Linked DNA regions of Stegostoma tigrinum. The protein of the gene in region 2 binds, or shares a complex with, the protein of the main gene of each other region. Links are inferred from orthologs where the notes say so. Each region holds a gene or a part of one and is shown on either strand. Other genes may lie near its edges.

Region 1 (7,162 bases), on a different chromosome or scaffold from region 2:
TTTTAAAAATTATTCAAGGAGGAAATCCTGTCAACCTGCTAGTTAGATTTTACATATTTTTCCTAAGGTGTTTTAATATATTAAGAGTTTTGGGCAATTCCTTTAGTCTTTCTTGATCCAAAACTATCCAAAGTTCTACCAAACTCTGGATGAAGGAGGGACCGGCCAAAAGTCTAACCAAGGAGTTGAAGAGTTTTAAAAAGACCATGGTTACAGAGGCTGTTCCAAGCAGTGGGGCTGAGGCAATTGAACATTCCATCAAAAGTGATGGACAGATAGTGATATACTGAAGAACAGAGAGTATGATGCAAAGCAATGCAGCCCGGTTATAACTGGAGATAAAGGAAGCAGTGACTTAGTGGTAATATCACTGAACTTGTAATCAAAGATCACACAATAGTATTCTGGCAACACGAGTCAGAATCCCACCAAAATATCTTTTAGGGAAGGAAATCTGCCATCTTCACCTGGTCTGGCTACATGTGACTCCAGACCAATGCTTAACTGCTCTCTAGGCAATTGGCAGCTGCAATAAATGCTGACCTAGCCAGCAATGCCCTCATCCTGTGAACGACTAAAAGATAGCTGCACTGAACGGATGGCACAAAGCCACAGAGGAATTTATAGATATTAATAGAGAAGTCTTTAAAATTATGAAGGAGCTTAATAGGGTACATAACAATGTGACGAGTCCAAAGCTGATGGACTGAAATACAATTGATTACGAACAGAATCAAATTGTTAATTCAGGAGAAACTTTCATCTGTATGGTACACATGACACTGTGAATTAGGAGGAGTAGGACACTTGCCCCCCCCCCCCCCCCCAGCCTGTTCTTCCATTCAAAATGATAGTTTTTCTGGTTGCTGACTCATGTCTGATTTCCTTTTGCCCCCTTATACAGAATCAATCTACCACTGCCTTAAATGCAGTACCCGGAGGAAACCCACATAGACATGGGGAGAACGTGCAAACTCCACACGACAGTCACCCAACGGTGGAAGCAAACCTGGGTCCCTGGTGTTGAGAGGCCGCATTGTTAACCACGGAGTCACTGTGCCACCGTGGTGAATGATTCAAAGGCTCTGCTTCCACAGCCTTCCAAAGGCACTCAAACCCTCTAAGAAACAAATTTCCTTTTTTTTGTCTTAAATGAGTGACTCCTTATTTTGAAAGTGACTGCTGCCTCTAGATTCTCCCACAAGTATAAACATACTTTTCATAATTACCTTGTCCAGGTTCCTCAGGGTCTGTATGTTTCAATAAAGTTTCAATCAAGGTGTTTAGTTGTTCTAAACACCAGCAGATAGAAGCCTAGCCTGTTCAACCTTTCCACAAAAGAAAACCAACCCATTTCTGTGAGGGATAATAGGAACTGCAGATGCTGGAGAATCCGAGATAACAAAGCGTGGAGCTGGATGAACACAGCAGGCCAAGCAGCAACTTGCTCCTCTGATGCTGCTTGGCCTGCTGTGTTCATCCAGTTCCACACTTTGTTACCTCAACCCATTTCTGTTATTGGTGTGGTAAATCTACTTGGAACATTTGCATCCCCCCTTAAATAAGATGACCTAAACCATGTACAGTACACTGGATGCAATCTTACCAGTGGCACGTATAACTGAAGTACACCTTCTCTACTTTTGTTTTCAATACCACTTGTGATAAATCATAACATTCTACTAGCTTTCCTAATAACTTGTTGTACCTGTATACCAGCCTTTTGTGATTAAAAATTGGAGCACCCAAATCTCTATATCTCAGAGTTTTGCAATCACTCAGCACGGCGGCACAGTGGCTCAGTGATTAGCACTAATGTCTCACTTCATCAAAGATTCAGGTTTGCTTCCACCCTTGGGGACTGTCTGTGTGGAGTTTTCACATTCTCCCCGTGTCTGCGTGGGTTTCCTCCAGGTACTCGAGTTTCTTCCCACAGTCCAAAGATGTGCAGGGTAGGCGGATTGGCCATGCTAAATTGCCCACAGTATCCAGGGATGTTTTGTTAAGTGGGTCAGACATGGGAAATACATGGGTAGGGGAATGGGTCTGGGTGGGATGCTCTTCAGGAGGGCAGCATGGACTTGCTAGGCCAAATAGCCAGTTTCCACACTATAGGGACTCTATGACATACATGATATGCTTGTTTTATATTCTTCCTGTCAAAATGGAGGTAACAGTTTATAAAATATCCTTTGGAGATCTCTAGACACTATCCATAAATTTGTAATTTATCCACAACACATTTTACAGTTGCTATTACTGAGCGTTGGGAATGTGCAATTCAGCACAATTGAGTTTCTGTCACTCGTAACAAAATACCTGTAGTCGCACTTAAAGGAAAGCTTCGTAAGCAGAGAGAAAGAAAAGGAACTGAAGGGTGTGCTGAGAAGAAGGGATAAAGTGGGACAGAAGCAGACTCGTGTGAAATATGAAATCTGAAGAAGGGTCCAGGCCCGGAACGTCAGCATTCCTGCTCCTCTGATGCCGCTTGGCCTGCTGTGTTCATCCAGCTCTAGACCTTGTTATCTGAAGTATGAACACTGGGCCGAATGGTCTGTACTTAAACGTTAGGTCACAGTTTTATTTTCATACTTCGATCTCCAACATTCCCAGTATTTTAATGGAGTATTCTAGTCCATTTAAATTTCATAGTGGGTACTCATGTAATCGACAGTGACAGAACAGCTGGATAAATGAAACAGTACAACCAGTTTGCCCACAAATTACAGCACACAAGTTGTGGGGAGAGCCAAACGGATTTCAGTGACAAGAAACAAATATTTCTGCAGATTTCAGGTGATACAGTTAATGAGGTTCTTCACCCATAATTTATGAATTCGAAGGTGCAAAACGCTTCAGTCTTTGTTCGTTTTCCACAAAGATATTACTCACAGTTTTCCAGCTTGTTTTACCCCATGCAATCGGACAACACAACTTCGCGCCTGACGATTAACCAACACGCATGTGCTGGACCCGAATCCCGGTGTACGCCGACGCATAGCTATGGGCCAATCAGCGGGCGGCTTGAACTACTCGCAGCCAATCGGCGGGAGAGAGCCGGATCGAGGCCAATTCGGACCAGAAAACGGAAAGAACTGAAGGGAGAATTACCGGGCCCAAAACATTGACTCTGATTTATCTCCGCAGATGCTGTCAGACTCGCTGTTTTTTTGTTTCCAATTCGGGTTAGTCGCCGCCGAATGGACGGCGGTATTGTGGCCAATCAGGAACGGGTGAGAACAGGAGCGTGAGGGAGGTAAGTCAATGGGAGAACGGGTTGCCCGACGACCAATGGGCGAGTCGATTCGGTGGCGGTAGTCCCTCACTGGCAGTTGCTATGTTACCCCGGCACGGCCCACAATCCCATGTGGCGGTTAGTACGGTGTTGTCAGTGGATTGGGGAGGTTTGATGTAGACAGTTACAGCAGAGGAGTTCAGTAGGAATTTGGATTTTTTTATTAAAAAAGCATATAAATCAGTTTAAGAGTACTGTATGTTCCCAGGCCTCCGAGAACTCCAGTTCGAAAGCGTTAGGGAGTTAAAACGACGAATGGCGAGCCCCCAGAGTTGGGTGTGTTTCTCGGCGAGAAGTGTTACGTGAGCCCGGCGTCTAATTTAGTGCGAGGCCTAGTTAATCGGTTTTCACTTTGTTTTCAGTAAAAGGTAGGGTATTTGATTTCTGAAAAAGCACGTAAGTTATTCAAAGTAAAAGTAATTTGTAATAATTTTAACTGAGGCATCGCGAGAATTTACGATTAAAGTTTCCATGTGTGAAAATAATTAAAAATATTGGATTCTAAAGTCAAATAATCTATGGAACGGGAATGCCATTCGTTGCTGTTAATATTTTCAGGTCATTTTGTGGCACACCCTGATTAAGTAGAATAACAAATTATTAAATAACAAAGTTAAATTTCTTGGTCTAAAAGTTGAGACATGCCTTGTACCAATGCAAATATGCCAAAAATATAGGAAGTCCTTTATGAAACACAGTTTTTTGTCAAGTTATCTGTAATTTTAGTTGTACTTGTTGGTTCTTGAGTTCGCTTTCACAATAACACCAAGATCAAGAATTTAGTACATCTGGGGAAACTGACTATTAAAATAAATATTGCCATTAATTGAAACAAAACCAGAAATTGCTGGAGAATTTTGCCAGGTCTGGCAGCCTCTGCAGAGGGAAAGCAAAGTTAACATTTTGAGCCCAGTGACCATCCTTCATAGGAGCTCTGAGGCAATTTCTGTTTTTATTTCAGATCTTCAGCATCTGCAGGGTTTTTTTTTGTTTTATTGCCAGTAGATAATGCATGTCCAGTATTTGTATGTTGTTTTTGAGCCAAACAGTGTGGAAGCAGACCCTTCAGTACAACTCCATGCCAACCAGATATCCTAAACTAATCTAGTCCCATTTTACAGTGTTTGGCCCATATCCCTCCAAACCCTTGCAATTCATGCAGCCAGCCTTTTAATTATTGTCATAGCACCTCCCTCCACCAGTTCCTCTGAGAGCTTGTTCCATACAAGCACCATCCTCTGTGTGGAAAAAGTCAGATTTTTTACAATAATTGCCAATATTACTGATTCAAGATTTATTAATTGAATGTACATTCAATCAGCTGCTATGGTGAGATTTATTCTGTACCCAGAACATGAGCACAGGCCACTATTTCTAAACCAGTGACATTATTACTACTCCTTTGTCCACTTTGTCACCCTGTTCAGAGGAGATCTGATTTTAATATTTAAAATTAAATTACTTGGTATAACAGAGAAACATGTTCCTCTGATGAGTGAGCACAAAGTTATAGGAATGTAATCTAAAATGGCACTGAAGACAAAATAAAGTTGCCATAGTCTTACTGGACCATAGGGTTGCTCTGTCATTAGGGAGAGATGATTGGTGGTACTTTATCCTGGCAACCATCACACACCTCAGGCAAGGGGAGACTTTGAGCAGGAGAGTTCTTTATAATAACCTCAGCCAGTGCAGGAATTGAACTAATGCGCTTGGCAAGACACTGCATCGTCCAGCTAATTGACCCTCTCCATGAAATCTCATTCCCTGATGAGCAGCAGGGGTGAAAACACTGAGTTTTAGCCAGTAGACCAAAGTGTGTGTTTTTTTGTTCAGGAGTGCACCTTTTCATGAGAAACTCTGGAAACATCTTATTCTAGAAGCCAAGGATGCTGGGAGTTAGTGCTTTCAAGCCCTGATCTAATGGAATAATGTTTTCTGAATATTCCTGTTGTCAAACAAAATTGTGTAGACATTGGCCAACAATAAATTTTGCTTGGCATTGATTTTTTTTAAAACATTGTTGATTACTGGACATGTGGGGGAGAATGTATGAGAAACAGCAGGAAAAACTTTCATTATTTTAAACTGTTGAGGTTGTTAGAGAATAGAAAGTACAATTTATGTCTAGATTTCAACACCCGGGCAGAATGCAAAAGTTGCACGTATAACTAACATGCACTTACATACACCTATTTATTAACTCTAACTTTGCTTCCAACACTCTAATACCAGTCAAACTCACTCAGTTCCCTTGAGAAGCTGATGGTGAGCTGCCTTCTACATGCTGTAGTTTGATGTCTTTAGGGAGGGGATTCAAAGATTTTGACCCAGCAGCAGTGAAGGAATGGCAAGCAGCTTGGAAGAGATCTTGCAGGTGGTGGTGTTCCCATGTATCTGCTGCCCTTGACCTTCTAGATGGAAGTACTTGTGGGTTTGGAAGGTGCTGTCTAAGGATCTCTGAATTTCTGCAGTGCACCTTGTAGGTAGTACATGCTACACTGCTGAGCGTTAGTGGTAGAGGGAGTGGTGTACGGTCTTGATGTACAATCAGCAAGAAACATTTCTGAATTTGGCAAGTCTTGGAGTAGATTTTTAACACTGTAAATAACTGCATCCCTCTGCTATGCTAAATTGAACAGTGTCTCAAATGATTTCTGTTTAGGTGCCTTTAGCAAAGATGGCGGAGTTTGCGTGCCTGCAGTTTGTGAGTTCGTTTGCATTTGAAGCAATGCAGAAGGTTGATGTGGTAAAACTGGCAGCTTTGAGTGATCCAGAGTTAAGGCTACTCTTGCCGTGTCTGGTGAGAATGGCACTTTGTGCCCCTGCTGATCAAAGTGAGGCTTGGGCACAAGACAAAAAACTCATCCTGCGTCTTCTGTCTGGGGTTGAGGCTGTCAACTCTATTGTGGCTCTATTGTCGGTTGATTTTCATGCTCTGGAACAGGATGCGACCAAAGAACAACAGCTCAGGTATTTATAGTACTTCCCAAGTTAATGTAAACAACGAGTAATTGTGAATTTCTGATGATCCATCAGTAACCTGAGTTAGCAAATCTACAACCCGTAACTGACATGAAACAAGAAATTAGGTTAATAATGCGGCTTTAACTCTATGTTGGTAGCGCTTATTCTTCTGAGTTAGGTTATGGGTTACAGTTTGCACTTCTCTAAAAATTTGATTTTATAATACTGCTGATGCACTTCGTGCAGTACTGAGGTGATGCACTGTTAGAAACCTGACTTTCACTTGAAGTTAAGTGAAGGCCTGGTGGCCCTTCTGAGTTGGGTATATCAGATCACATGACACTTTTCTGAATTAAAACAAAAACTGCTGCCCCTGTGTCATACCCAATGTTAATCCCTCAGCCCAGTGATGAATCATGGATTTGGCATTATTAAAACTGATTGACCATTATCCTGTTGCTGTTTGCAGAATCTTGATGTGAACAATTTGTCATTTTTCCTACTTTGTGATGTTGACTATGTTCCAGAAACATGTATTTTGTGATGTTTTGAAACGTTGCAAGATGCAGAATAATTACAATGTTTTTCTTTCTCACTTTAGTTATTACAACATTATTTTATCAAGAATAGTCCTCAAACTTATTAACTTTCTTTAAACAGGCACAAGTTAGGTGGAGCAAATGGAGAGAGCATCCTAGTATCACAGCTACAGCATGGCTTAGCTTTGGAGTTTGAACATAGTGATTCCCCTCGTCGTCTCCGACTAGCACTTAGTGAACTGTTAGTGATCATGAACAAGGTAATAAACAACGAATCTAAGATAGAAGCTTGTGTTCCATCTATGCATGCCACTGTCTGAGCACTGATGAGCTCATACTTTACTTCTGAGGAACTTGAGTT
Region 2 (7,535 bases):
TTCAGAGTTAGCGCAGTTTGCAATTACTATATACTGTTTGCATTGAGGGCTGTTCATTTACCAGTTCAGTGCTCAATAAACTTGTCTGGTAGTTAGTAATCTGAATGTGATCCATTAAATTATACAGCCCTTCACCTACTGAACACGAGATCTTATGGCTGCATATTATAAATTCTAGCAGCTGGTGTACAGGTCACAATTGTTCTCTGCTTGAGGGCTAAATTTTGCTGTCTTGTGGTACCACCATTGGTTCAGACAGATGTGGCAGTGGGCTTTCTATTTGGGTTCAGGCCACACTTGACAAAAAGCAGTATATAACAAAATCAAAAAAACATTCTACAAGAGCAAAAAATAAACTACATACCTTTTTCAGGTGATTGTAAGCATCTCCCTCAAATGGGTCACATATATAAAGTGAGCTGTCTTTTACTTTCAAGTTAAATACTTCATCTTCATGTACAATCTGCAGGAAGTCCTCAGATTTAAATTCTTTAATGGCCTGCAAATCAGAAAAAAGTTGTATGAAATGAATAAAGTTAAAAGTCAGAAAGGTTTAAACATTAAATGGTATTTTATAAACCAACCTTATACGCTTTTGTGAAATATTCAGAATCGTTCCCTTTCATTTTTATAAATTTCACTAGAAAAGGTTCAGGCTTTGCAGAGCTCGGCATTTTCACAATCTAAACCTGGAGAAAAGAAATGTCAAAAGGTATTTAAAGTCTCTCAATATCAGGACAAAAAAGTTGTTTGGAAACTACCACAGTGACTATAATTCAAAAGTATTTAAATGGTTGCAAACCACTTTAATACTTCTAAAGTCATTAAAGACTCTATATAAATGAAAGTTTTCCTTTGTCTCTTTCAAATTAAGAGTAAATCTGACCTTTGAATATCACTGAACACTGTGGAAATATAAGCATTAAAATTTGCATTAAATAAACTTCGGCATTATGTCCTGCTTGCAAGCCAAGATAATTCAACATTTTCCTCTGGTTCCATGTTAAGCAAATTCTGTTAAAAGATCAATGTCTGCAGAATCGCTAAATTTCTCTTCAAGTAACTAACACAACACCAGGAGAAAACAAAGTCTGTTTTCTCCTCCACAGATGCTGCCAGACCTGCTGAGCTTTTCCAGCAACTTTGTTTTTGTTCCTGATTTACAGTATCCGCAGTTCTTTCGGTTTTATTTTGAAAAAGTTGCCCCATTGGTGCCTTTTAAATTTTTCCACTCTCACCTTAAAGCTATGTCCTCTAGTTTTGGACTCTGCTATCCTGGGGAAAAGACCTTGGGTATTCACCCTATCTATGATCCTCATGATTTTATAAACTTCTATAAGGTCATCCCTCAGTATCCAAGGCTCCAGGGAAAATAGCCCCAGCCTATTCAGCCTCTCCCTATAGCTCAGACCCACCAACCCTGGTAACATCTTGTAAATCTTTACTGAACCCTTTCAAGTTTCAGAACCTCTTTCCTATTGCAGGGAGACCAGAACTGAACACAGTATTCCAAAAGCAGCTAACCAATGTCCTGTGCAGCCACAACAATGATGATTTGTACACAAAATTTCTATTTATCCTTCAATGAAATGGCATGTGTTCAGTCTACAGCTACATTACCAATTAGCTTTATAGTCAGAGACATCAAAACTGCTTAATAAACAACCTGTATAAGAGCAAATACAAAAATATACTCACGCATAAAGCACTTTCTGAATACTACTTGCTATCTTGCTTAAATACCATGCATTTGAAGCCTTTGAAAACTCTGAATACCCAACCTCCCACAGTTATTTCAGCAGTAGTGCCGGAGCTGTCGGAAACATTTCACAGCATATTGTTACATATCCAACCATATGACATTCACCGTGAAATATGAGCTGCAAACATTTTTACTGTCAGCAATTCTTGAAACCAATTAGTGAATGCAGTCAGTTTCCGTTACTCAAGGAAATTTAGCACAATAACTGTATACAATAAGCCTCTTTAGTGTCAATTCCAGAAATGGTTACAAATGTGACAAAGTCAAATGACATCAAGAGCACTTTTATGTAGATGCAGTCTGTTTAACTGATGCGTAAACACAAGTAGAGTGACCATCAGATAGTCACATACCAGAATCTGTTTTCAACTTTATATTACACATCAAAGCTGGATTACTTCTAGGTTTACGATTTTTTTTACAAAAGTGATCTGCCACTCTGGATGGTGCTGCCCCCCCAAATAACTGAATTTACACATGCACATAGAAATACATTTGACAATAAAGCTGCAACGATTGAAAAAGAATGTAGAATATTTTATCACTTATTCATTAAGCTGATATGACTGAAAGATCTAAATAGGAGACTATACATTTAGTTCACAGATCAAAACAAGACAGTCATTTGTTACAGTAATGGCATATCACATTGTTTCTGACTTCACAGTACTGGGAAAATAATTCCTTCAGTCACAAGGAGTCAACACAGTAAAGGTAGAAAGTACCTCAGGTCTTCCAAAAAGATCCTGGCACATTGCAAGATACAAAGCGTGGAGCTGGATGAACACAGCAGCTCCACACTTTGTTTCTTGGATTCTCCAGGATCTGCAGTTCCCATTATCCCAGATACATTGCATCAGTTATTCAGTCTTACCCAGTCTCATTGCAAAACATAAAGCTGATAAATGTTGGGAGAGTTGGTGGCAGTTAAGATGGCGGGGGGATGTCGGGGAATGAGAACAGGGTTCCCTCAGCCCCCGCTCACTCGAACCCACCTACAGCGGCTGCTGGACTCCCAGGGCGGATGCTCCAGGAAAAGAGGCATCAAAGCGGGGCCCCGGCCTCTCCCGGAAAATTTCTCGCCTCTCCCGGGCCCTCCCTCCCTCCGCCTCCTGCGGCCCCGGTGACCGGCTCCAGCTGCCGACCTCGGTTACCCGGGAAACCAGAACTGCCGCCTGTCCGCCTCACCATCAAGAGCCGCGGGTCCAACACATCTCTACGCTTCCCCAAACACTGATCGCTGTTTATGAATTTAATCTTTATGTTTCAAAACAAACATTCTCGTTTCCCGCTCGGAGTGATTTCAGCAAGTACTGAAAGGCCCTCAGGCACATTTGTGGACGCAAAAGGTTTAGGGGTCCTGACGATCAGGGCGGGAGACTGGGAACGTAATGGGATCATGTGACTGAGAACAAACCCCCCGGAAGTAGCTAAGGAGGCAACATGTTGTAGCCGAGACACCACATCTGGAGTACTGTGTACATAGGAAAGAATGTAAATGCTTCAGAAAAAGTTGACGAGAAGGTTCACTTGTCTGATTCGTGGGAGTGAATGGGTTAGCCTCTGCTTCATCTTGAGTGGTTCACAGACCAGTATCCACCAATATTTATGTACATAGCTCTGGCTAAGCTAGGCGCAACCTGCTGATTTGGTCATCCAGGCTGTGAAAATCTTTGAACGGAAATAATCCAAATTTGGGTCTTGAAAAATGTGTTATTTAGCTCCTAAATTTGGGGGCTATGACCATTTGCTTTGGCCGCTTTCATTGTGCCCTCGGGAAGACAGTTTGTGCTTTGTAACATGTTATTGCCAGATGGCACGAGATACTTAAATAAAAGTTAAATACTTCAAGAATACTGGAAATCCGAAATAACACAAGGGTGAGGAGTTAGCTATGTGGAGTGATAAACAGTTAATTTTTCAAGTGCTCCTAAGAAGCTGCTGGGCCTGCTGTGTTCATCCAGCTCCACACCTTGTTATCTTTATGTCTTATTCAATACCACCTACTTAGTTCTGCCAATTCTCTGTATCTATTCCATATTTTGTAGATCATGGTTAGTCTACTCCTTCCTCCTCTGCGCTAGTGACCACCATTCAAAATTTTTGATCCACTGGTAAAACTAGTGTATTTCCTTTAATTTGCAAAGCATATCTTTGAATTACATTACACTCACTTGAATCTCGTTATACAAGAATCCCACACCTTTTGGCCATACTGCAGGATTATTGGGTAAGGTATAATGTCCTGATTCTAACAATACAACAAAGATTTGTCCTCAGAAATCCAAAACTCCTGTTTGCTTAGGATAGCGTATGCTAAATGTAGAACCATAGTTGAAGAATGATTTTAAGATGAACCTTCATATATGTTTGCGCATCTACTCATTGCAGAATTTGATTACAGAACTTATACCTGTTGATGGATCCTTTCATTTCACAAACACATACAATAAAGCAATGTGTCAGAACAGAATACTTTCTCCCATTAGTCCTGCCAGTTTTGCAATTCCAACAAATCATCTTTCAAGGAATTGATACAATCTTGAGTTTTTCCCCTTGATGCATGAACTATACAGTCAACTGCAAAATCTTGTGGTTTCTTTTAACCTTGTTGAGAAGGTTATTTACACATCCTAAGAAAAGTAAAGGTACCATCATGTTACCCTGCCCACTTGGACAGGATGATTCCCCATCGTACAGTGGTGCCTTCTGTCAGCAGGTTCATATTAATCACGTCACCCTAATTCCATAGTAATAAGTTTGGACAAAAGCTTTTCATGAGTAACTCAGTGAAAAGTTTTTCAAAAATCTAGTTTTGGCACATGAGTAGGTTCATCTCTTTCAAGTCTTGAAGCTTGGTCATCAGGGGCAGCACAGTAGCCAGTTCTGTTGCCCCACAGCACCAGGGACCTAGGTTTGGTTCTGGCCTCAGGTGACGTTCTCCCTGTGTCTGTGTGGGTTTCCTGTGGGTACTCCAGTTCCTCCCACAGTCCAAAGATATGTGGTAAATGGATTTACCATGCTAAATTGCCTCAGTGTTTGGGGGTGTGTAGATGAAATAGATCAGTCCTGAGAAATGCAGAGCGGGTTTGGGGGGGGGGGGGGGGGGGGGGGGTGGCGCGCATGGACAGAACAGACAAACATAGGAGTCATGGGGGGGGGGGAATGGTCTTCAGAAAGTCACTGTGGACTGGAGTTGAAGGGCCTGTTTCCATAAAGTAGGGATTCTAAAAAAAAAGCTGTGTTTTGTTTAATCAAAAACCCCAAATGAGTACAAGGCACATGGCAAGAATAAACAATATTAACAAAACAGTTTGAATATTATCACAAAATCATGATAGTGGCAAATGGGACAAGATTAATTTAGAATATCTGGTTAGCATGGATGAGGGTCCATTTCTGTGCTGCACATCTATGACTTGAGTTCTGGTCTCCATCCTATAGGACAGATGTTGTGAAACTTGAAAGGGTTCAGAAAAGATCTACAAGGCTGTTGCCAGGGTTGTAACTGCAGGGAGGCTGAATAAGCTGGGGGCTTTTTCTACCCCAGAGTGACTGAGGTTGAGTGCTGACCTTAGGTTTATAAAGTCATAGGGTTACTAGCCAGGGTAGCAGATTCCAAAACTTGAGGACACAGGTTAGGGGGGGGGGGGGGGTGCAGGGGGGAAGAGATTTAAAAGGGATATTCCATGCAGAGGGTGTCACATGTGGAATAAGCTGCCAGAAGAAGGGATTGAGGCTGGTACAATGACAACATTTACAAGGAATCTTGATGGCTAGATGAACTACATGAATAGAAAAGGGTTCAGAGGGATATGGGACAAATGAGACTAAATTTAAGAGACCTTGTTGGCATAGACTGTTGAGTCCAACTTGTCCATCTCCATGCTGTACATTCTCTGACTCTATACAGCACAGGAGGCCATTGCCCCATTTTGCCTGTATGTGCTGTACAATTTATTGCTAAGCCTCTGCTTCTTCCCCATATCCCTGCACCTGTAACTCAGTCATTTTCTGGCTGAAATTTATACTCCTCTTTAAATAAGTTTTCTTTTCCTATTGGTCTGGTGAGTACTATGAAACATTTGTTATAAACATATTGATAAGTGGGAGGTATAGGCTGGCTAGAGCAGATGCAGACATATACATATAAAGTAACCTCCATGAATAACATTCAAATAGAGTTGGCAATCAAGTGAAAGACCAGCAACTGGCTAACACCAGAAAAAGGAGCATATAAACACACCTTCTCATGTTTAAAGGAAGAAATTGCAAAACAAATCACAAGAGGGCATTCTATTGGAGATATTGAAACACAGCAGGCTAAAAGTGGAAAAGCTAAAGTCAAAAGGTGCAGGTCATAAGACAAGCGGAAGTTAGAGACTTACTGAGAGCAGGAGATACTGTTTGGCCATGAGATGGTCTAAAATACATGGCTTAAAACACCTCCTCTAGGTGGCAGAAAGAGCACACATTCACTGAGCAAACTAGAATCACTTGGAAGTGATTGCTTCATTTCAATCAGTTGCAAAGATGGTAAATTACATGCAGTTCCTCCTAAATATTGCATTCATGCTTCCAATAAGTTGTCCCAAGTTTCTTGGATAAATTCCCCAAATTAGCCATGTTGGCATCATAACTGTTTAGTTAACATCACTGACCACCATTCAAATGCAAAGAAAATGAGAACTTACTGCCTTTCCCTTCCATAAATTACATTTCTCAATATATTTGCACATGATTAGTAATGTCAGAAGGGAAGAATTTTCAATTTGCTAAAAAGAATTAGAAGCTAGGTCTCAATGAGTTTGGTTTCAAAACAAAATCCATCACTATTCAGCCATTCAGCTTGTGAAACATTTCAGTCATATCAATGAAGCATGTGTCTTGCTAAGATATGCTTGGGAGTGAATTGTCATTTTGTTTTGCTGACCTACGGGAAAAGCTGTGAACTGCTTGCTGAATACCTTGTCTTTCCAATTGACTGTGGAAGTTTTAAATTTAAAAAAAAAACACAGGGAGACTGCAAGGTGCAAGTGATAAAAACAGAAAATGCTGGAAAACTCAGCGGGTCTGGCAGCATCTGTGGCTAGAGAAACAGTGTTAACGTTCCAAGTCTACTGACTCTTCAGAACTGAGGTCATATTGGACCCAAAAGCATTAACCGTCTTGTCTCTCCACAAATACTGCATGCGATAATGGTGTGAATTTAAGGGGTTATTTTGTCCTGGTTTTTTTTTGGAAGAGGTTTTAAGACAGAGTTCTGAGCAGTCCACCAAAACCATGTGTCAACAGCACAAGGCCTTGGGCCTCCCACAGAACCAGGATCTCTAGTTTAGCTTTCAGCAGAAGCTGCTGGGTTTGTTAAAAGCCACCACACCTCTTTGCTACATCCAAAAGCTGGGAGGTCTTTCAAAATTGTCTTTGATGTTCTTTCCTCCCAGACTGGAGTTTTGTTTCCATTTCAGATTTCCAGCCTCTGCAGTATTTTAATTTTGTTTCAGATTTTGTGATGTCAGGTGATTAGAACAAGTTAAAATATAAACGAGGTCAGACCAACCTCAAAAATGGAAAGAGCGTCATGTCACATTTACCTCAATTGAAGAAAATTTGAGCTAAATCACAAGATTTAATCTGACTCTTACCCATGTTGCTTTGTTACGTATAAAAAGCATTAAGTTTCAACCTGCCCAGTGTTTGGGCTTGCCTCTAGAAAACAGGCAGGAGCCTATCCAAAGATGTAATATCCAGCTCAGATCTCATGCTACAACTC
Region 3 (6,989 bases), on a different chromosome or scaffold from region 2:
AGAAACATAAGGATTTAGGAGTCATTGCCCATGGATCACAAAAAAACAAGCATCCAAGTTCAGTAGGTAATGGGAAGGCAAATGAAATGTTGGCTTTTATTTCAAATGAAATGGAGAATGAACGTAAAGAGGTTTTCCTACAACTATACAAAGTATAGTCAGACCACAGCTGGAATACTACGAACAGTTTTGGGCCCCTTATCTAAGGAAGGATATACTGGCATCAGAGGTATGGAAGGATTGGGCTGGTTTTCATTAGAATAGAGAAGAATGAGAGACAACCTTATTGAAACATATAAAATTCTTAACTAACTTGACAGAGTAGATGTGGAGAGCTTGTTGCCCCTTATAGGAGAGTATAGGGTCAAAGGGCATAATTTCAGAATAATACGTTGACCATTTAGGGCAGATGAGGAGGAATTTCTTCTCTCAGAAGTGGAGAATGTTCAGAATTGTTTATCACAAAAGGCTGGGGAGGCAGGGTCATTGAGTCGTTAAGGCAGAGATAGATATTTAATTCGTAAATGAATCATGAGTTATGAGGAAAAGGCAGGAAAGGGGAGTGGAGGATTATCAGATCAGCCACGATTTCATTAAATGACAGAACAGACTCAACGGGCTGAATAGCATATTTCTACTCTTAGCACATGATTTATTCTTTATTTTGACTCTGAGGGGAAGGGAGATTGAGCAAACTGGAATAAAACAACTTAGAAGAATCGACTGTAAGAATTTCTAAGTAAAGCTATAAAAAGAAAACTGGAAAATGATGTGATGGGAACTAGCTAACATCTTTGTTCCATTAGGGATCTGAATTTCACATCCTTCCTATTGATATACAGTACAATTAGATATTTAATCAACATTAACAGGAACACAAGGATCTTTGGGCCATTTATATGAATGATCTTACCAGAAAATATCTATGGCAACTGTGAATAGAACATCCTCTTATTGTTTTACTTTTGTAATTCAGGCTTTGAATTACCTAATTCATTGCTGCGCTGCAGTGTTTCAGACATATTATGACCCCAGAGCTCTTTCTCTGCTGCATCTTTAGTCATTATCATTCATGGTATAATCACTTTTCTTCTTTCAGATATGCTCTAAGATACAAAGGGTACAGGTATCTGGGAAAGCTTCCCAAGTATGTCCATGGCCCAGATGGAAGAACCATTTTTTCCCTTAACAAGTACCCTTGTAGATAATGGAAACTCGAGTAGGTATGCAATTATTTCCAAAAATTTACACTCTGAATTGAAAAAACTCAACTCCCCTCGAATCCTTCTGTCAATTACTTGACATCTGTGTTCCCTAGTTATGGCTATGCAAAGAAAGCAGGTTCCTCCTAGTATAAGCTTGGCATTCATATATTCGATGTAGATTGAGAGACATGCAGCTCTGTGGCGCAGTGGAGAGCCTGCTGGACTTCCAAAACAATAGTGAAATGTGCTATTCAATGGTCGTGGGTACAAATCCTACCAGAGTTGAGTTTTCTGTGAAATCTTCACTATCATCACAGGGTGGCACGGTAATTAGCACCATTGCCTCACAGCACCAGGGATCTGGGTTTGATTCCAGCCTTGGGCAACTGTCTGTATGGAGTTTGCACATTCTCCTTGTGTTTGAGAGAGGTTCCTCTGGGTGCTCTGGCTTTCTCCCACAGTCCAAAGATGTGCAGGTTTGGTCGATTTGCCATGGGAAATGCAGGGTTATGGGCTTAGGGCAATGATGTGGATCTGAGTGGGATGCTTTTTGGAAGGTTGGGGTAGACTTGATGGACTGAATGGCCTGGTTCAACACTGTAGGGATTCTTGATTCTACATGGCACTATACTGTAGATATACATGGACATGAAAACAATATGGATCTGAAATCGAATATCTGAATGACATACCACTATATGCTTTATGAAACCTGTCCTTCTCCTTTCAGGGATCGAGGCAGGCACGCCAAGTCTCCTCTGGTCCTCTACAATTCATAATATCCCACTATTCACTGCGCAGTCCGTTGCCTCGTTTGGTCTTGCCCAACTCCATTCCCGCAGATTTCTCTGCATTGATTTTCCCCACGCCAAACAAAAAACCTCGCCACTTTTCTAAGAACCAAAAGAACTGCGGATAGTGTAAATTAGGAACAATAAGAGAGTTGCTGGAAAAGCTCAGCAGGTCTGGCAGTATCTGTAGAGGAGAAAACAGAGTTAACGTTTCGGGTCCGGTGACCCTTCCTCAGTTCCGGACCCGAAGCGTTAATTCTGTTTTCTTTTTCACAGATGCTGCCAGATCTGCTGAGCTTTTCCAGCAACTTCGTTTTTGCTCGCCACTTTTCTGTCCACTTGACCACTGTCGAACCTATAACCTTCTCCCTCACTACCAATTCAATCGCGTTTTTATTCCTCAACATCATTATTTGTCTCGTCCTTCATTATTGCTCGATTAAACAATAGTAAAAATGTTGGGTATTAAAATAAACAACTGAAAGCACTCGAGAAACTCGGCAGATCTGGCAGCATCCCTAGACACAAAAACAAGGTTAAAGTCTCGAGCCCAATAACATTTCTTCGGAGTAAGATTAGTGTTTCACTTTTAATATTTTAAAGACTTATTTGGAAAAATACTACGTTACTCACATTAAAAGCGGGCAACTGACCGTCCGCAGCTCGTTGGAGTTCTCGGATTAACTCGATAGCTTTTTCACAAAACATTATTCCCAGAAGGAGCAAACGGTATTATAATATAAACCTCTACAAACAAGAACGGACGAGCTGTAAAACACGGAGCAAAAATCTTCCATCCAAACCCCCGCCAAAACCGACTAAAGACCCAGGTGGCGGCGGGACCAATCAGGAAGGTGGAGAGCGGGCAGTCACCTCCGTCACTTCCTCCCGAAAAAAATAGCTTGACTGCAAAGTATAAACAGCGAACAATATCTACTCGATGTTCCTACAAAAGGTATGTGTGGTCAACTGATTTATTTTTAAAAATGTGAAATTCCTTCTTTGTGTATGCCCCCCTCCCGTACAACAGATTCGCCGTTTGATTTTGCTTTTTCCCCTACGGCTCGAGCTTCTCAGTCAACCGGCTCCCTCAGCGCGAGACCCAACTGGCGAACTCGAGGAGAGCGCTTGCGCTCTAACTGCCCCTTCCTTTCGCTACTGGCAACCCTCTCTCTATCACAACCGTCATGTTCCATTTGTTTCTACTCATAGAAAAATCCCCACAACATGAAACCAGGTCCATACCGCCCTTTCGAAGGAAGAAGAAGCATCCCACCCAGATCCACTCCCCAACCCTTCATTTCCTATATCTAATCCACCTAATTTACACACCCCGGGACATTACGGGCAATTTAGCATGACCAATTCACCTAACCTGCACATCTTTGGACTGCGGGAGGAAACCCACGCAGACACGGGGAGAATGTGCAGACTCCACACAGACAGTCACCCGAGGGTGGAATCGAACTCGGGTACCTGGCGCTATGAGGCAGCAGTGTTAACCACTGAACCACCGTGCCACCCAAAATGAAGGCAAGTTCGTCTGGGATGTGTTTTTAATTCGTCCATTTTAAGAATGCTGTGTGCATTCAGTTAGCCATTTATTCTGCCTTTTTACCTTTTTTTTGCCTTTTCCTCATCTGTTAGTATACTAACAATGCCTGTATGCCCTGTCCCCTCTTATCACAGTGTTTGATAATTATTCCCATCTCTGTCGTATTGCCTTGTTTTACTTCCTCCATAACTTTCAAAATTTCCCTTCATGTAAGCCCTATTTTCCCCACCTCTCCCAACTGTTCTTTTTAGCTGAAAACCTACTGTACAGTCCTTGTTGTATAATTTAGCTAGATGTTGGCCCAGTGTAGCTGAAGAGAAGGCACAGTACTGCTCCCTTTTTGTCCAGCACTGATGCCAACTCTCTTCAAATTTAAATGTATTTCTTCTACACTAAACTTTGAACCAATTCAATGCTCTAACCTTGGTAACTCTGTGCCAAATTTGTCTTCAGTAAGTAATCCAGGGACATATCTATCAGTGTAGCTAGATAAGCTATTAATCTAATGCAATGTATCAGTCTCTATGTCAGTTTAACCTACCGTCTGCTTTTACAGGAATAACATCAGCAAACTTTGAACATTCACCAGCTTCTGGGGGGAAAAAAGTGAAAAAGCAACATCTGTTTTCACTTCTGCAAATAATTCCCAAGTTAGCACTTATTACACTCTGCTGACAAACTTGTGTACATAGGTTTATGATTAATATGTTCAGGGTTGGAAAGAGGTCTTCAGACCCATACCCATGATTTTCTGAGTTGACTATTATCCACCAAACTTCTCTCCTATGCCTTGTAGGAGACAATGAGCTGATTGATTTATTGGTGCTATCTGACCTATTCTAGCTAAACCTTTTTAGGTCCCACAGGCACAAGTTACTATCAAGAAATAACTTGTTTTATTTATTGAGATCACATAGCTTAAGAATTCTAACTAATGCTGTCTCAACAAAAGCTCCTGTCATTGTTGAAGATTTGCAGTCAGTGTCACTATGGGAAACTCGTGGTAATGGCAAAAATAGCTGCAAGGTCTTGTTGGATTTTGAGCAAAATAGAAATAAACAGAAAATTCTGGAGAGACTCAACAGATCTAGCAGTATTGGTGGAGAGAGAAACTGTTTTGAAAAAGAACTGAGGATGCTGTAAATCAGGGAGGAAAAAAAACATCAGAGATAATGGGAACTGCAGATGCTGGAGATTCCAAGATAATAAAATGTGAGGCTGGATGAACACAGCAGGCCAAGCAGCATCTCAGGAGCACAAAAGCTGACGTTTCGGGCCTGGACCCTTCATCAGAGAGGGGGATGGGGGGAGGGAACTGGAATAAATAGGGAGAGAGGGGGAGGCGGACCGAAGATGGAGAGTAAAGAAGATAGGTGGAGAGGGTGTAGGTGGGGAGGTAGGGAGGGGATAGGTCAGTCCAGGGAAGACGGACAGGTCAAGGAGGTGGGATGAGGTTAGTAGGTAGCTGGGGGTGCGGCTTGGGGTGGGAGGAAGGGATGGGTGAGAGGAAGAACCGGTTAGGGAGGCAGAGACAGGTTGGACTGGTTTTGGGATGCAGTGGGTGGGGGGGAAGAGCTGGGCTGGTTGTGTGGTGCAGTGGGGGGAGGGGATGAACTGGGCTGGTTTAGGGATGCAGTGGGGGAAGGGGAGATTTTGAAACTGGTGAAGTCCACATTGATACCATATGGCTGCAGGGTTCCCAGGCGGAATATGAGTTGCTGTTCCTGCAACCTTCGGGTGGCATCATTGTGGCAGTGCAGGAGGCCCATGATGGACATGTCATCAAGAGAATGGGAGGGGGAGTGGAAATGGTTTGCGACTGGGAGGTGCAGTTGTTTGTTGCGAACTGAGCGGAGGTGTTCTGCAAAGCGGTCCCCATGTTGCTGGAAAAGCTCAGCAGGTCTGGCAGCATCTGTGAAGAAGAAATCAGTTAATATTTCGGGTCTGGTGACCATTCCTCAGAACTTCTGAGTTCTGAAAAAGAGTCTTTGGACTTGAAATGTTAAATTTCATTCATTTCCACAGATGTTTCCAGGCCTGCTGAGTTTCTTTATTTTCTGCTTTTATTTAAAGCATCTGTAGTATTTGGAATTATTAGGAGGAATTAGAGTTTCTGTAGTGAGAAACTGAAATAAGAATCATGCCTTAAGGTAACATAGGCATAGCTGAGAGCTTAATGGGAATGATGTCACACGTGCAGAAACAGGTATTTTTGATGATTAACTCAACCTGCAATTTAAAGCTCAACTTATTGATGGAGATCTCCACATCAATAAGCAGCAGGTAAAGGAGATGAAATCATGTTCTGAGGCATTACTTTTCAGGTACTGATTGCTTGACAGGATAGTATCGGATAAGCTGATGAATGGAATGTTTTGTTCACTTTTTTATAAGCAGGAAATCTCTAAATTTTAAGATCTCTCAACAGGGGTTTGGCATTCTATTTAAGCATTGCTCTATACTTTCTCATACTGATGAGAATGTACATTACCTTCTGGTATGCAAAAAGTCACTTCAAACACATTATTTCTAAGAAACATTTCTTTCCACTTAACTTCCTAGATGATACTGACTTGAAGAGATTTTGTTACATATTGGTAGTGTCCTTACCTCTGAGCTACAAGTTGTGGGTTCAATTCCCACCTTAAGACTTGACGTCCATAAAACTATGTCTTTACCTGGGAAAACAAGATACAGTCGTTATTAATACGTAAATCCTTTTGATATGCTTAAGGCAGACTGTAAGAATGCGAGAGTTTTCTAGTCCGACAATATGGTAGCCGTAGACCAGAGACTTCCCCATGTTAAAGTCATTTGAGGAGTTACTGTACACTATTAAATTTGGTTCGCCTGACATAGCTGCAAAGAAGCAAAAACTTTCAATCCTATTGTTCAGTTCATTTTTAATTGGTTGGGCAATCATCATTTTGAATTTGATAATATAATCGAGAAGTACAGTTTATAAATGAATTTGTTTTGGTACACCTCTATAAAAGGATTTTGAATGTATTTTTAAGCACAGCTTTTACTCAGTCGGTTGTCATTCAGTTGTCGATTAGCAGATTAGAGCTTTACCCAGTAGCAAACAAGTACACAATACATAAATGAGGGTCAGATTTATGCTGAGCGTTAATGCAACTTTACTTTCAATAATCCATGGAAAATTGGTCTTTCCCAATAGAATACCTGCCTTCTCAGGTGAATGTAAATGATCCATTGGCACTATTGCAAAAAAAGCGTGGGTTTTCTTTTAATATAGCCACTGTGAAATCAACCATTTGACAAAGTAAACAATTGACACGCACCACTCACAAGTAGCAATAACACAGACAGGGAGTTTAGGATGAGAGGGAGGGGATCCAATTGAAATAGGGTTGGAGGGGGAACTGATACACTCCGCTTTATCCTTCTCAAAGGCTTTCAAAGTGTTCTCTTGAT

The links.
Region 1: the proteins of topbp1 (region 2) and brip1 are in contact, whole or in part, in a crystal structure (PDB 3AL3), measured with the Homo sapiens proteins. The link is inferred for Stegostoma tigrinum from reciprocal best matches to the Homo sapiens genes TOPBP1 and BRIP1. Residues at the interface, in NP_008958.2 of Homo sapiens: Leu1272, Ser1273, Ser1274, Leu1275, Asn1276, Pro1277, Arg1280, Gln1298, His1311, Leu1313, Arg1314, Asn1315, Glu1316, Lys1317, Leu1319, Gln1366, Arg1407, Gly1410, Phe1411, Leu1414, Thr1466, Glu1467, Ile1469, Ala1470; in NP_114432.2 of Homo sapiens: Ser1129, Tyr1131, Phe1132, Thr1133, Pro1134, Glu1135, Leu1136, Tyr1137, Asp1138.
Region 3: the proteins of topbp1 (region 2) and gins1 are in contact, whole or in part, in a cryo-EM structure (PDB 8OK2), measured with the Homo sapiens proteins. The link is inferred for Stegostoma tigrinum from reciprocal best matches to the Homo sapiens genes TOPBP1 and GINS1. Residues at the interface, in NP_008958.2 of Homo sapiens: Leu490, Leu491, Ser492, Gln493, Tyr494, Glu495, Asn496, Leu586, Ser587, Arg588, Thr589, Val590, Val596, Cys601, Glu602, Val603, Ala605, Thr606, Val607, Gly608, Val610, Lys629, Pro636, Val637, Pro638, Val639, Met640, Thr641, Arg726; in NP_066545.3 of Homo sapiens: Asn43, Gln44, Val47, Asn48, Lys51, His66, Arg91, Tyr94, Gly95, Ser96, Asn100, Arg103, Phe104, Arg119, Ala122, Met125, Glu132, Gly133, Leu134, Asp135, Thr137, Gln138, Asp139.

Annotation. Positions count from the first base shown.
Region 1 is NC_081380.1:43,259,656-43,266,817, reverse strand, and holds the start of brip1 (Fanconi anemia group J protein), read right to left. Parts: upstream 3,108-7,162; 5' UTR 2,893-3,107; intron 1-2,892. Other genes in the region: ints2 (integrator complex subunit 2), read left to right, coding at 3,338-3,373, 5,961-6,268, 6,923-7,061. UniProt on the Homo sapiens protein: DNA-dependent ATPase and 5'-3' DNA helicase required for the maintenance of chromosomal stability. Acts late in the Fanconi anemia pathway, after FANCD2 ubiquitination.
Region 2 is NC_081355.1:12,951,215-12,958,749, reverse strand, and holds the start of topbp1 (DNA topoisomerase 2-binding protein 1), read right to left. Parts: upstream 3,097-7,535; 5' UTR 2,951-3,096; intron 2,911-2,950; exon of another isoform or gene 2,758-2,910; intron 2,752-2,757; exon of another isoform or gene 2,637-2,751; intron 690-2,636; 5' UTR 675-689; coding exon 585-674; intron 500-584; coding exon 365-499; intron 1-364. UniProt on the Homo sapiens protein: Scaffold protein that acts as a key protein-protein adapter in DNA replication and DNA repair. Composed of multiple BRCT domains, which specifically recognize and bind phosphorylated proteins, bringing proteins together into functional combinations.
Region 3 is NC_081362.1:20,095,658-20,102,646, reverse strand, and holds the start of gins1 (DNA replication complex GINS protein PSF1), read right to left. Parts: upstream 3,033-6,989; 5' UTR 2,705-3,032; coding exon 2,630-2,704; intron 1-2,629. UniProt on the Homo sapiens protein: Required for correct functioning of the GINS complex, a complex that plays an essential role in the initiation of DNA replication, and progression of DNA replication forks.